Macaca fascicularis: one gene and its partners. The protein of the gene in region 1 interacts with the protein of each later gene in a biochemical or structural test. Links are inferred from orthologs where the notes say so. Each region holds a gene or a part of one and is shown on either strand. Other genes may lie near its edges.

Region 1 (4,111 bases):
ACAGGCCAGAACATCAGTGGTTCTCAGTCTTCTTTCCACCCCAACCCATCTGAGGGATTCAACACCTCTCCATTTATAGAAGTGACGACAGTCTGAAAACGTCCCTCAGGTGATTCTAAGACACTACCCTAGAAGCTGTTCCCGTGCTGGTACCCTCTAGTACACTACGGCAGACTTATCTGAGGTTCCACACAGCTCTACAGTCTGCAACTTTAGGTACAGGAAAACTATAGTAACACTTCAATAGGAGCTTAGGAAGAAAGGCCAAAAGTTAGTATACATCTTCATTTGTTGGAACATGAAAGATTCAAATAAGAATGTCTATACTGATGACATCAAAGAAGAAGATGGTATAACTGTTCATATGGCAGGCGGCACAACTGACCTAGAATTGGCTTCTAATCAAGGAGGTAGATAAAGGAGGAGGAAAAATAGGGAATCAATCAAAATAATCACCCCTAAGGTTTGAGGAAACGGTCTGAATGTGTGATTAATGGAAAGACTTGTGTAAGTTAACTTGCCTGATATCAGAAAGGGAAGCCAAAGATGAACGCACAGAGATGTGATGGTATATGATCCCAATTTCTTCTCCAAAATATCGATTTGTCACATGTTTGATATCAATTCCATGTAAGTAATTTTTTTTTTCTGAACAACTCTATAAACTAATAACCAATAAATACTAAAAAGAAAAGATTTGGACACACACATTATAAATACAAATCAAATACACCAGTTCAGCATGGTGATTGACGAGAACTGCCAAGTATGGTATTTACAAACAATGTTCATATTTCTTTGAATATCCACTTACTGTGGACAAATTGCACAGCATTTAAACGCTATTGTTATAGTTGGGTATGGTGACTTGTGCCTGTAATCCCAGACTCTCTGGAGGACAGGAGTTCAAGACCAGCATGGGCAACATACTGAGATCCCCATCTCTTAAAAAAACACAGTGATAATTTAAAAAGCTCTTGTATGTGCAAAATCATGTGAAAAATTCTCACAACTAGGAAAGAAGGAAATAGAATTTGAAAACTTCCTTGGAAGATGTGCATTTTCTGATCCAAATGTGAACCAATATTACGTCGTCATTAATAAGTATGCAAGTTATGGTAAAGAGGCCGACTGAGGCTTCAAAATTAGGATATTTATATAAAACAACGTGTAACTGAACTATCTTCAAACAAGAAAACATTATAACTTAATAAATGCTGATGCTGATTGTTAACTGTATGTTTTACAATGAGACGACCTTTAAATGGGACAAAAAATAACAGGTGATCAACAGATTTAGAATTTGAAAATAAAAAACTGGCAGGCTCTAAAAGTTGCTGTCCTCTGTACCTAAAGATGCCACTAGTGGCTAGTCAGAATACAATGTGTACGTCACTATCACTCTCTAACATTTACTATTGCTATAATGGACTACTGGTCAAAAAAGTAGATAAAAATGTGGGCATTAATTTCTTCTGAAACAACTACAAAATACACTGACCATTGTTGCTTAACTTAGTGAAAAGCACTCCCTATTTAACAAACACATTCTCAATGTTCCCAGTGTGAACTGTAACTGTAAAACCTAAAACTTGGGTCAGTACACAGACCAACAAGAAATAAAAATGAACAGAAAGAAATGCCCGAATATCAATTCTGAAGGATGTTCGCTTCTGAAATGGTGGCAATAAATACTGTGAAAAAAAGACAATTCCACACACAGGGTTGAGATGGGTGAACAGTTGTTGGATGAAGATACATATTTCTTCCTCATTTTATACCCATGTGTCAAAGCATCAAAACAATCTATTTGCGACAGTTTATGTTGTGTCTCGAACTTTACATCTAAGTTTACCATGAGGGGCAAAAAAAACCTGTTTGGCTTGACTCACCGTGAATCACAGCCAGGAGGTCATCTTGTTGTGTATCAGCAACTATGTTTTCGCTACAGCTATGTGACCTGAAGTGGCAGCAGCAGAGGCACCAAAATAGAAGGGGCAGGAGCCTTCTCTTGGCTTCTTGGCCGCAAATGGGCTTTCCAGCCCATTCGGGCAACTGAGCAAGAGCCAACCGCAGAGGAGAAAGAACCAACCCGACAGCTCCGCGGAGAAAGGCTGCAGGCCCACCCCACCTTCCGTGCCCTCCCGGGGAGCCCGGGTAAGCAAGAACATAAAAGAGACAGGCTTAAGAAACAGCCTGGAGAAAACACAGCATGACAGGGGTCAAAACTAGCCTCATGGAGGGCAAAACCCAGCCGTGACCGTGAAGCACAGATTTCGGGGCGGTCTGGACGCGGAGGAGGCTCTCTACCCTGGGGCTCCGGGAGCGGCCCCGGCGCGAGCGCGCCACGGGCCCCCAGCCTTCAAGCTCCCCCGGCCGCCTGGGATCTGCCCCCGCTCCCACCTAACCTGTCCGGTGCCCGCTGGCCGGGCCCGAGCCTCCAGCTCCCTGCCCGCACCCCGGCCCACCCTTCCATCCCGTGCTCTCCCTGCATATCTCTCGGGACCACTGGCCGAGTCAGCGTGGGCAGGCGCCGCTGCCCTGCTGCCCCGCAGCCCCAGGCCCGGCCCCGGCACTCACTTTCTGAATCCGCTTCAGCGCCATGGATCAGGGATCGCGGTGGGGACACCGGCCGGCAGGGGTCGGCTGCGGGGCTCGGGGGCGTGAGTCTTCGCGAGTTGGGCTCGCTGGCAGCTCAGCTGGCTCCGCGCGGTGGGTCCCCGGTTCGCCGCTCCCTGGCTCGCTCCGGGCGCCGGTCCCTGCTCCGTCTGCGCCCGAGCGCGAGTGTGCGCGAGTGTGCGGGCGGGGAGGCCGGCGAGACTCTTTTGTTTCCGCTTTTGCTTCTGGGAAGGAGCCTGCGCCCTCCCCGCCGCGCCCCGCCCCGCCTGGCATACTGGGAAGTGTAGTTCCAGCCCTGTCCTCGGCCGCAGGCCCCCAGACGCTGCCAGGTTACTTGCTGCTGACCTTAGCCAGGCAGCTTAAGGTGAGAGCTGCCGGGTGCTGGAGTTAGTCTCTACAGTCTCATTTAGAGCAAGTTACTGAACCTGGGGCTGCGCATCTGTAAAATGGGGATAACAAATGAGCTCCTAACGCACATAAAGGAATTTCTAAATCATCAGTTAGTAATTCCTTATCCAATAGGTGCCACAGCTGGTTTTATTATATTTACCTTTAAATATTTCACTGTCTTTTCTCAAATATATGAATTATCTCAATTACTCACCCAGCACACATGCACAAACTCATATCTATCAGACCCCTTACTTACCTCCTTGGTTCTTACTGCAGAGGAAAAAGGTGTCTCTTCTGTCCAATGCACAGATCTTCCGTGTCTGAGTGCATTGTCTGCTCATAGGTATGCCCCTCCCATAAATTACCCGCTTCGAACACCGAGTTCAGAGCTCTCACTCCCATCGTTGACTCCTTCCCTTCCATTGACAGTCTCTGACTAATAGTCAACGCACACTCCCCACTCTCCAATTCCTGGGCACTTGTGTACCCATTAAAACTTGGCTTCTTGGCCGGGCACAGTGGCTCACGCCTGTAATCCTAGGGCTTTGGGAGGCTGAGGCGGGCAGATTACCTGAGGTTGGGAGTTCGAGACCAGACTGGCCAACATGGTGAAATCCCATCTCTACTAAAAATACAAAAATTACCTGGGCATGGTGGTGGGCGCCTGTAATCCCAGCTACTCAGGAGACTGAGGCAGGAGAACCGCTTAATCCCGGGAGGCGGAGGTTGCAGTGAGCTGAGATGGAGTCACTGCTCTCCAGCCTGGGCGACAGAGTAAGACTCTGTCTCAAAAAGGAAAAAAAAAAAAGTGAAAACATCAACAGATGTTGGTGATGCTGAGGAGAAAAGGTAACATTTATATGCTGTTAGTGGGAATGTAAATTAGTTCAGCCATCGTGGAAAACAGTTTGGAGATTTCTCAAAGAACTTACAACAAAACTACCATTTGACCCAGCAATCCCATTACTGGTTATATATGCAACTGAAAACAAATTATTCCACCAAAAAGATATATGTTCTCACATGTTCATCAGTACTATTCACAATAGCAAAGACATGGAGTCAACCTAGGTGCTCATTAATGGTGGATTGGATAAAG
Region 2 (3,524 bases), on another chromosome or scaffold:
GCTAACATCAGGAAATGAGAGACTGAGTACTTTCCTCCTGAGGTCAGGAAAAAGGAAAGGATATCCCCTCTCTCCATGCCTACTGAACATTGTACTAGAAGTCCTGGTTAGTGCAATAAAATAAGTGAAGACACATGAAAACTATACAAACTGCTGGCTGGGCGTGGTGGCTCATGCCTGTAATCCTAGCACTTTGGGAGGCCAAGGCAGGTAGATTGCCTGAGCTCAAGAGTTCGAGACCAGCCTGGGCAACACAGTGAATCCCTGTCTTTACTAAAATATAAAAAAAAATTTAGCCAGGTGTGGCAGTGTGCGCTAGTCCCAGCTACTTGGAAGGTTAAGGAGGGGGAATTATTTGAACCCAGGAGGTGAAGGTTGCAGTGAGCTGAGATCATGCCACTACACTCCAGCCTGGGTAACAGAGCAAGACTCCTTCTCCCAAAAAACAAAACAAAACAAAACAAAACAAAACAAAACAAACAAACAAACAAAAAAAACAGAAAAGAAAACTATACAAACTGCAAAGTATGAAATAATTAACTTTATTCTCAGATGACATGATTCTCTATGTAGAAAATGCCAAAGAATTGACATTAAAAAAAACTCTTCTATGACTAATAAGTAATTATAGCAAGGTTGCAATATACATGATTAAAACACTAAAGTCAATTTCTTTTCTATGTGCCAGCAATGAAGAATTGAAATTTGAAATAGAAAAAATCACAATAGCACCAAAAATAAAAAATAGGATAAACTCTAAAAAGAGATGTACAGAATCTACATGTGGAAATAATAAGCTTTTCAGCAGTGTTAGTTTTTAGGAAAAAGCAAATTAAAACTACATTGAGATACCATTACATTCCCACTAGAAAGGCTGTAACTAAACAAAAAAAAAAAAAAAGAAGGAAATATCAAGTATTAAAAAGGATGTGAAGAACCTAAAAACTTTTTATATTACTTTTTATAAGCTTTTATATTGTTACTCATATAGAATGAGTAACGACTTTGGAAAATAGTACAACAACTTAAAAATTATACATAAACTTAACATATAACACTCTTAAAATCTACTCAAGATAAATGAAAACATGGTTGTATGAGGACATGTAAGTGAATGTTTACTGTAGCATTATTCATAATAGTCCCTAACTGGAAAATATTCATATAGCCACCAACTGGTGAATACACAAACATAACATGATTTATTCAGATAATGGAATAGTATTAGCAATAAGAAAGAGCAAAATGCTGATACATACTGCAATATAAATAAACCTCAAAATATTATGCTAAATTAAAGATGCCAGATGCAAAAGACTACATGTTGTATAATTCAATTCATATTGAAATGTCCAGAGAAGCCAATTCTATACAGACAGAAAACAGATTGGTTGCCAGGAGGTGGAGGTAGAAGCAGATATTGACTGTAAACAGGCATGAGAAATGTTTTTGATGTGATGGGGAAGTTCTAAAACGAATTTGCTCATGGTACAAAGAATCTTCTCTCCAAGCTCAAATTTTTACACTGCCTCTCATAAGTAAATAATAAAGGGAATTTCCTTTGCCACTCATACACTTAATTATCTCTGTGACTCCTGAAATGATGGGCATAAAAGGGGCACTGCCAGGCCAAAGGAACCATTTAATGTCACCACACAGAAGAAAGCCTAGAGACTGGGAAGGGAAGGAAAATCAGCCTCTGTGTTTTTCCCCTAATCTCATATGTAGGTGCTCCATCCCAAGTCTTACCTGCAGCATCTCTATTGATGACCCCCTCAACCTCCGCTGGAGATCTGAGATGAGCTTGCTGGCATCCTGCCTCTGCTGGACCAGCTGGTCTCTAGCTGCTGCCAGGTTATCCAGCACATTCACCTCACCTTCCTCCAGCTTTTGCAGCTCTCTCTGCTCCTCACTGTCCAAGATGACTCTCATTTCATTGAACCCTTTCAGAATCTTCTGTCTCTCGAGCTGGATATAATTCTTGAATGAGAAGAGAAGAGAAAGAGGCAGTCAGTCTGGCTGGTTGAAGGCCTGCTTTGTATGAGCCTGGGAGCCAGGATAAGAACTGTTTTCCTCAGGGAGTTCTCAAAAGGAATACGAGGCAAAAGCCAATACACAATTTCTGGTGAAGCCATGCTTTTCTATTTTTTAACCGGAACTCCTTCCAAAGCAATACACTCAAGTCTTTTATTGAGGCCTAATCTGAGACAAAATGTGATGCTTGGGTGAGGCTTGGATTATAGACACCTGTCCTGAACAACCTTGCCTTTCTCTCTCTTAAATCCCTCTACCTGGTCGGGCACAGTGGTTCACGCCTGTAATCCCAGCACTTTGGGATGCAGAGGTGGGCGGATCACGAGCTCAGGAGATCAAGACCATCCTGGCTAGCATGGTGAAACCCCATCTCTACTGAAAATACAAAAAATTAGCCGGGCATGGTGGCACGTGCCTGTAGTCCCAGCTACTTGGGAGGCTGAGGCAGGAGAATCGCTTGAACCGGGAAGGCAGAGGTTGCAGTGAGCCGAGATCACTCCACTGCACTCCAGCCTAGATGACAAATCGAGACTCTTGTCTAAAAAAAAAAAAAAAAATTCCCCTACCCAAACCACCTAAACAGGGAATCCTGGGTCTTTCCTCAGGTTGTTTACTGGAAGGATTGGAGCCTCAAACTTGATGACACAAATGGAACACAGGATTCACAGGAAGCATTTTCACAGGTATTTCCCTCCATGCCTTCACTTCCAAATATTGTGTTGATTTATGATATGTCTGCTCTCCAGCCCCCAAACTCCAACAAGGAAGGAATTAAATGAGACCTAATCATATGACTTCTATAATTGTTAATTCTAGCACAGCAAAGGGGAAGTGGTCTCCTTGTGATAGAGCCCAAGGTCCTGCCCAGATTCCTGTCTAATTATCCCTTAGGAGGTGTCTCCTCCTGCCTTCCAGACGGTTCTCTCTTGTCTGACGTCATCTTCCAGCTTCTCAGCTTCTTGATCCTCCTTTGTCAGCTTCTGCAGGGCTGCCTGCAGCTTTTCCTGTGAGAAAGAAATTATACCAGAGTAAAGTTATGAGTTTTCTCAGCACCTGGATAGAGGATAGCAAGGAAGAAATCGGATGGCTCTCAGAAGGGACTAGTTTACAGAAACAGTGAGGCTGGTGATTAGAACCTATGGCATGGGGGAAAATCTGAGGAGATGAACGTATTCTTTATTACTGGATGATGGAAGTTACCATCCCCTTATCAAGAGTAGCCTGATTCTTTTCCTAGAGAAAAAGCAGACCCTGCATTAAGGAAAGACTTCCTTTCATTGCCACTTTTGCCACATCTAACAAGACATGTTCTCAAAAACACCTTTCTTCTCGGAGTGGCAATTAAAGCTTATCTTACAAAGCAATTCTCCATTCATTCAACTTTTCCTTGCTAAAAAATGTACTCTTTTAAATAAAAGCAACGTGCAGCACTGTCCTTCAGGCTTCAGAAACTAAGTAAAGAGTTTGGAAAGAGATCACAGGGCTCTCAG
Region 3 (2,360 bases), on another chromosome or scaffold:
TTTACTTCTTATCCTTTTGACAGCAGAACAGGGGGCATGGAAAACAGCATATTTCTGGTTCAGGAAAAGACCCTTGATTTTATGCATGACAGCATTGATGATGAGCAGAGACTGAGACTTTTAGTCTTGAATATTTCACTTGTTTTGAGCAAAAGTAGCCAAGACCAGTTTAAGGCCAGGAAAAGGGAGTAGTTAAGTACTCAGAGAGGGTTGAAGCAATAGAAGTTTTGAGAAGGCCCAATGGCTCAATGCATTTCTTTCTCTGCAGTATGCCACCACGGGCTGTTCCCTGACCCTGCACCATACGGAGAAACCAGAACATGAAGACATCTGTGAATACCGTCCCTACTCCTGCCCTTGTCCTGGTGCCTCCTGCAAGTGGCAGGGGTCCCTGGAAGCTGTGATGTCCCATCTCATGCATGCCCACAAGAGCATTACCACCCTCCAAGGAGAAGACATCGTCTTTCTAGCTACAGACATTAACTTGCCAGGGGCTGTCGACTGGGTGATGATGCAGTCATGTTTTGGCCATCACTTCATGCTGGTGCTGGAGAAACAAGAGAAGTACGAAGGCCACCAGCAGTTTTTTGCCATCGTCCTGCTCATTGGCACCCGCAAGCAAGCTGAGAACTTTGCCTATAGACTGGAGTTGAATGGGAACCGGCGGAGATTGACCTGGGAGGCCACACCCCGGTCGATTCATGACGGTGTGGCTGCGGCCATCATGAACAGCGACTGCCTTGTTTTCGACACAGCCATAGCACATCTTTTTGCAGATAATGGGAACCTTGGAATCAATGTGACTATTTCTACATGTTGTCCATGATGTGACTTTCGTAAACCATCAAAATTATTTGGGCATAGTGCTCTATGTTTAATAAAGGTTTTTATAGATGTTTTATTCCATATGTCTTCACAAGTCAGGACCCACAATTACCCGTGTTTTGTTTGAACAGCAGTTTCCCATCTGGCTTCAACCCAACAAAGTTCATTAACCTGGGATGAATGTGGTTGGCCTGTTGGTAATTTGGAGGCTGTTCTGTGATCTAAAATAACTCTTATTAAATTGTATTTACTCCCTAAACAACACTTGACAGGCTGTTGCACAGGGCTTCTATAGATCAGTGTGTCAGGAATGGGAGGCCCCTTCCTGCCTGCCTTCGCGTATTGGTCCCTTGACATTGACAAAAGCACAGTGACTGTCAGCAGATTCCTTTACTTTTGTTTGTGGGATGTAGGAATTGTTTTAATGCATTTTAAACAGTGTTTCTCAAATAGGATGGCTGGCTAATAGACACTGAATCACCCGGAGTGCTTATCTTAAAATTGCAGATTTAGGGAGCCTGCCAATTTAACAGTCTCATCAGGTGATTCTTTTCAGCAGTAATGTTTGAGAATTACTGGGTTAAATTGTGGGAAAGGGTCCAGATTTTAAAGGTGCTTTAAGGTTGCCCTCTGCCGATACTGTTTGTCTTTCTACTGTTTCATCCCCTAACCTCCCCCAACCCTCAAATTAAAACTAGTAGAACTATAGATCCACATGAACACACGCCTGAGATTTGGTCACTCACCTATGTTTTGGGTGGATTGCCTAGGAAAGAAAGTCATATGGCCATTGATAGTTCTCATGTAATTAGTTTTGCTCACCACTAGTACAGATGACCCGTTTACACATGGCTTCCCTCGGAAGCCCTCGTCGACAGTAGCTGGTGTGAAAGACGAGGTCAGTAGAGTTGGAAAAGCTTTATAACCGGTGTGTCATATGCTTGCTATTTAAAGCTGTGTGTTGGTTTTGTTTTTCTGCCACATTCACTAGTTTTTTAATAAATATTTTCCAAAAATGGATGTTGTGCTTCATTTCCCTAATTGAATAACGGGTATTTATTGAGCATCTACTGTGTGCAAGTGCAGTGAACCTTCATCACTACATCTGGGGTTGGAACTTTCACTGTTTCCACTGTGGAAACAGTCACTGGGCCAAGTCATGGCGTGGGTCCATGACAGCACTGGGGTCCGGGCTCACGTGTCTGAACCACTGAATGTCAGTGCAGCAGGTCTCCTCCCAGGGCTGTCGTTTCTATCTGATGGTGCCAGTAGCTGTGCAAGAAGAGGATTGCTCCTGCTTTACAGAGTCAGAAGGAAGACGCTTGGCCAGTGCTGACATCCAGAGTGCTAGGGTTGATCCATGGTGACCCACTGCCTCAGTCCCAACCCTAAACTCTCAAAAGAATTGAGAGGATTAGGGCCAAATGCTCAGCAAGGATTGAAGGCTGCTTACTTCAGTGTCCCAGTTTCCCTTTTTTGTTGTTGTTGTTGTTTTTGTTTTTGAGACGGAGGCTGGAGTGCAATGGCATGATCTC

Evidence for each region. The genes of interacting proteins can lie anywhere in the genome.
Region 2: the proteins of UBE2D1 (region 1) and TRIM22 form a complex in vitro, tested with the Homo sapiens proteins (2 studies listed by BioGRID). The link is inferred for Macaca fascicularis from reciprocal best matches to the Homo sapiens genes UBE2D1 and TRIM22.
Region 3: the proteins of UBE2D1 (region 1) and SIAH2 form a complex in vitro, tested with the Homo sapiens proteins (3 studies listed by BioGRID). The link is inferred for Macaca fascicularis from reciprocal best matches to the Homo sapiens genes UBE2D1 and SIAH2.

The regions. Positions count from the first base shown.
Region 1 is NC_088383.1:88,326,482-88,330,592, forward strand, and holds the start of UBE2D1 (ubiquitin-conjugating enzyme E2 D1), read right to left. Parts: upstream 2,801-4,111; 5' UTR 2,605-2,800; coding exon 2,581-2,604; intron 1-2,580.
Region 2 is NC_088388.1:68,342,079-68,345,602, forward strand, and holds part of TRIM22 (E3 ubiquitin-protein ligase TRIM22), read right to left. Parts: intron 3,039-3,524; coding exon 2,943-3,038; intron 1,981-2,942; coding exon 1,750-1,980; intron 1-1,749. UniProt on the Homo sapiens protein: Interferon-induced E3 ubiquitin ligase that plays important roles in innate and adaptive immunity.
Region 3 is NC_088376.1:53,592,198-53,594,557, reverse strand, and holds the end of SIAH2 (E3 ubiquitin-protein ligase SIAH2), read left to right. Parts: intron 1-268; coding exon 269-826; 3' UTR 827-1,841; downstream 1,842-2,360. UniProt on the Homo sapiens protein: E3 ubiquitin-protein ligase that mediates ubiquitination and subsequent proteasomal degradation of target proteins.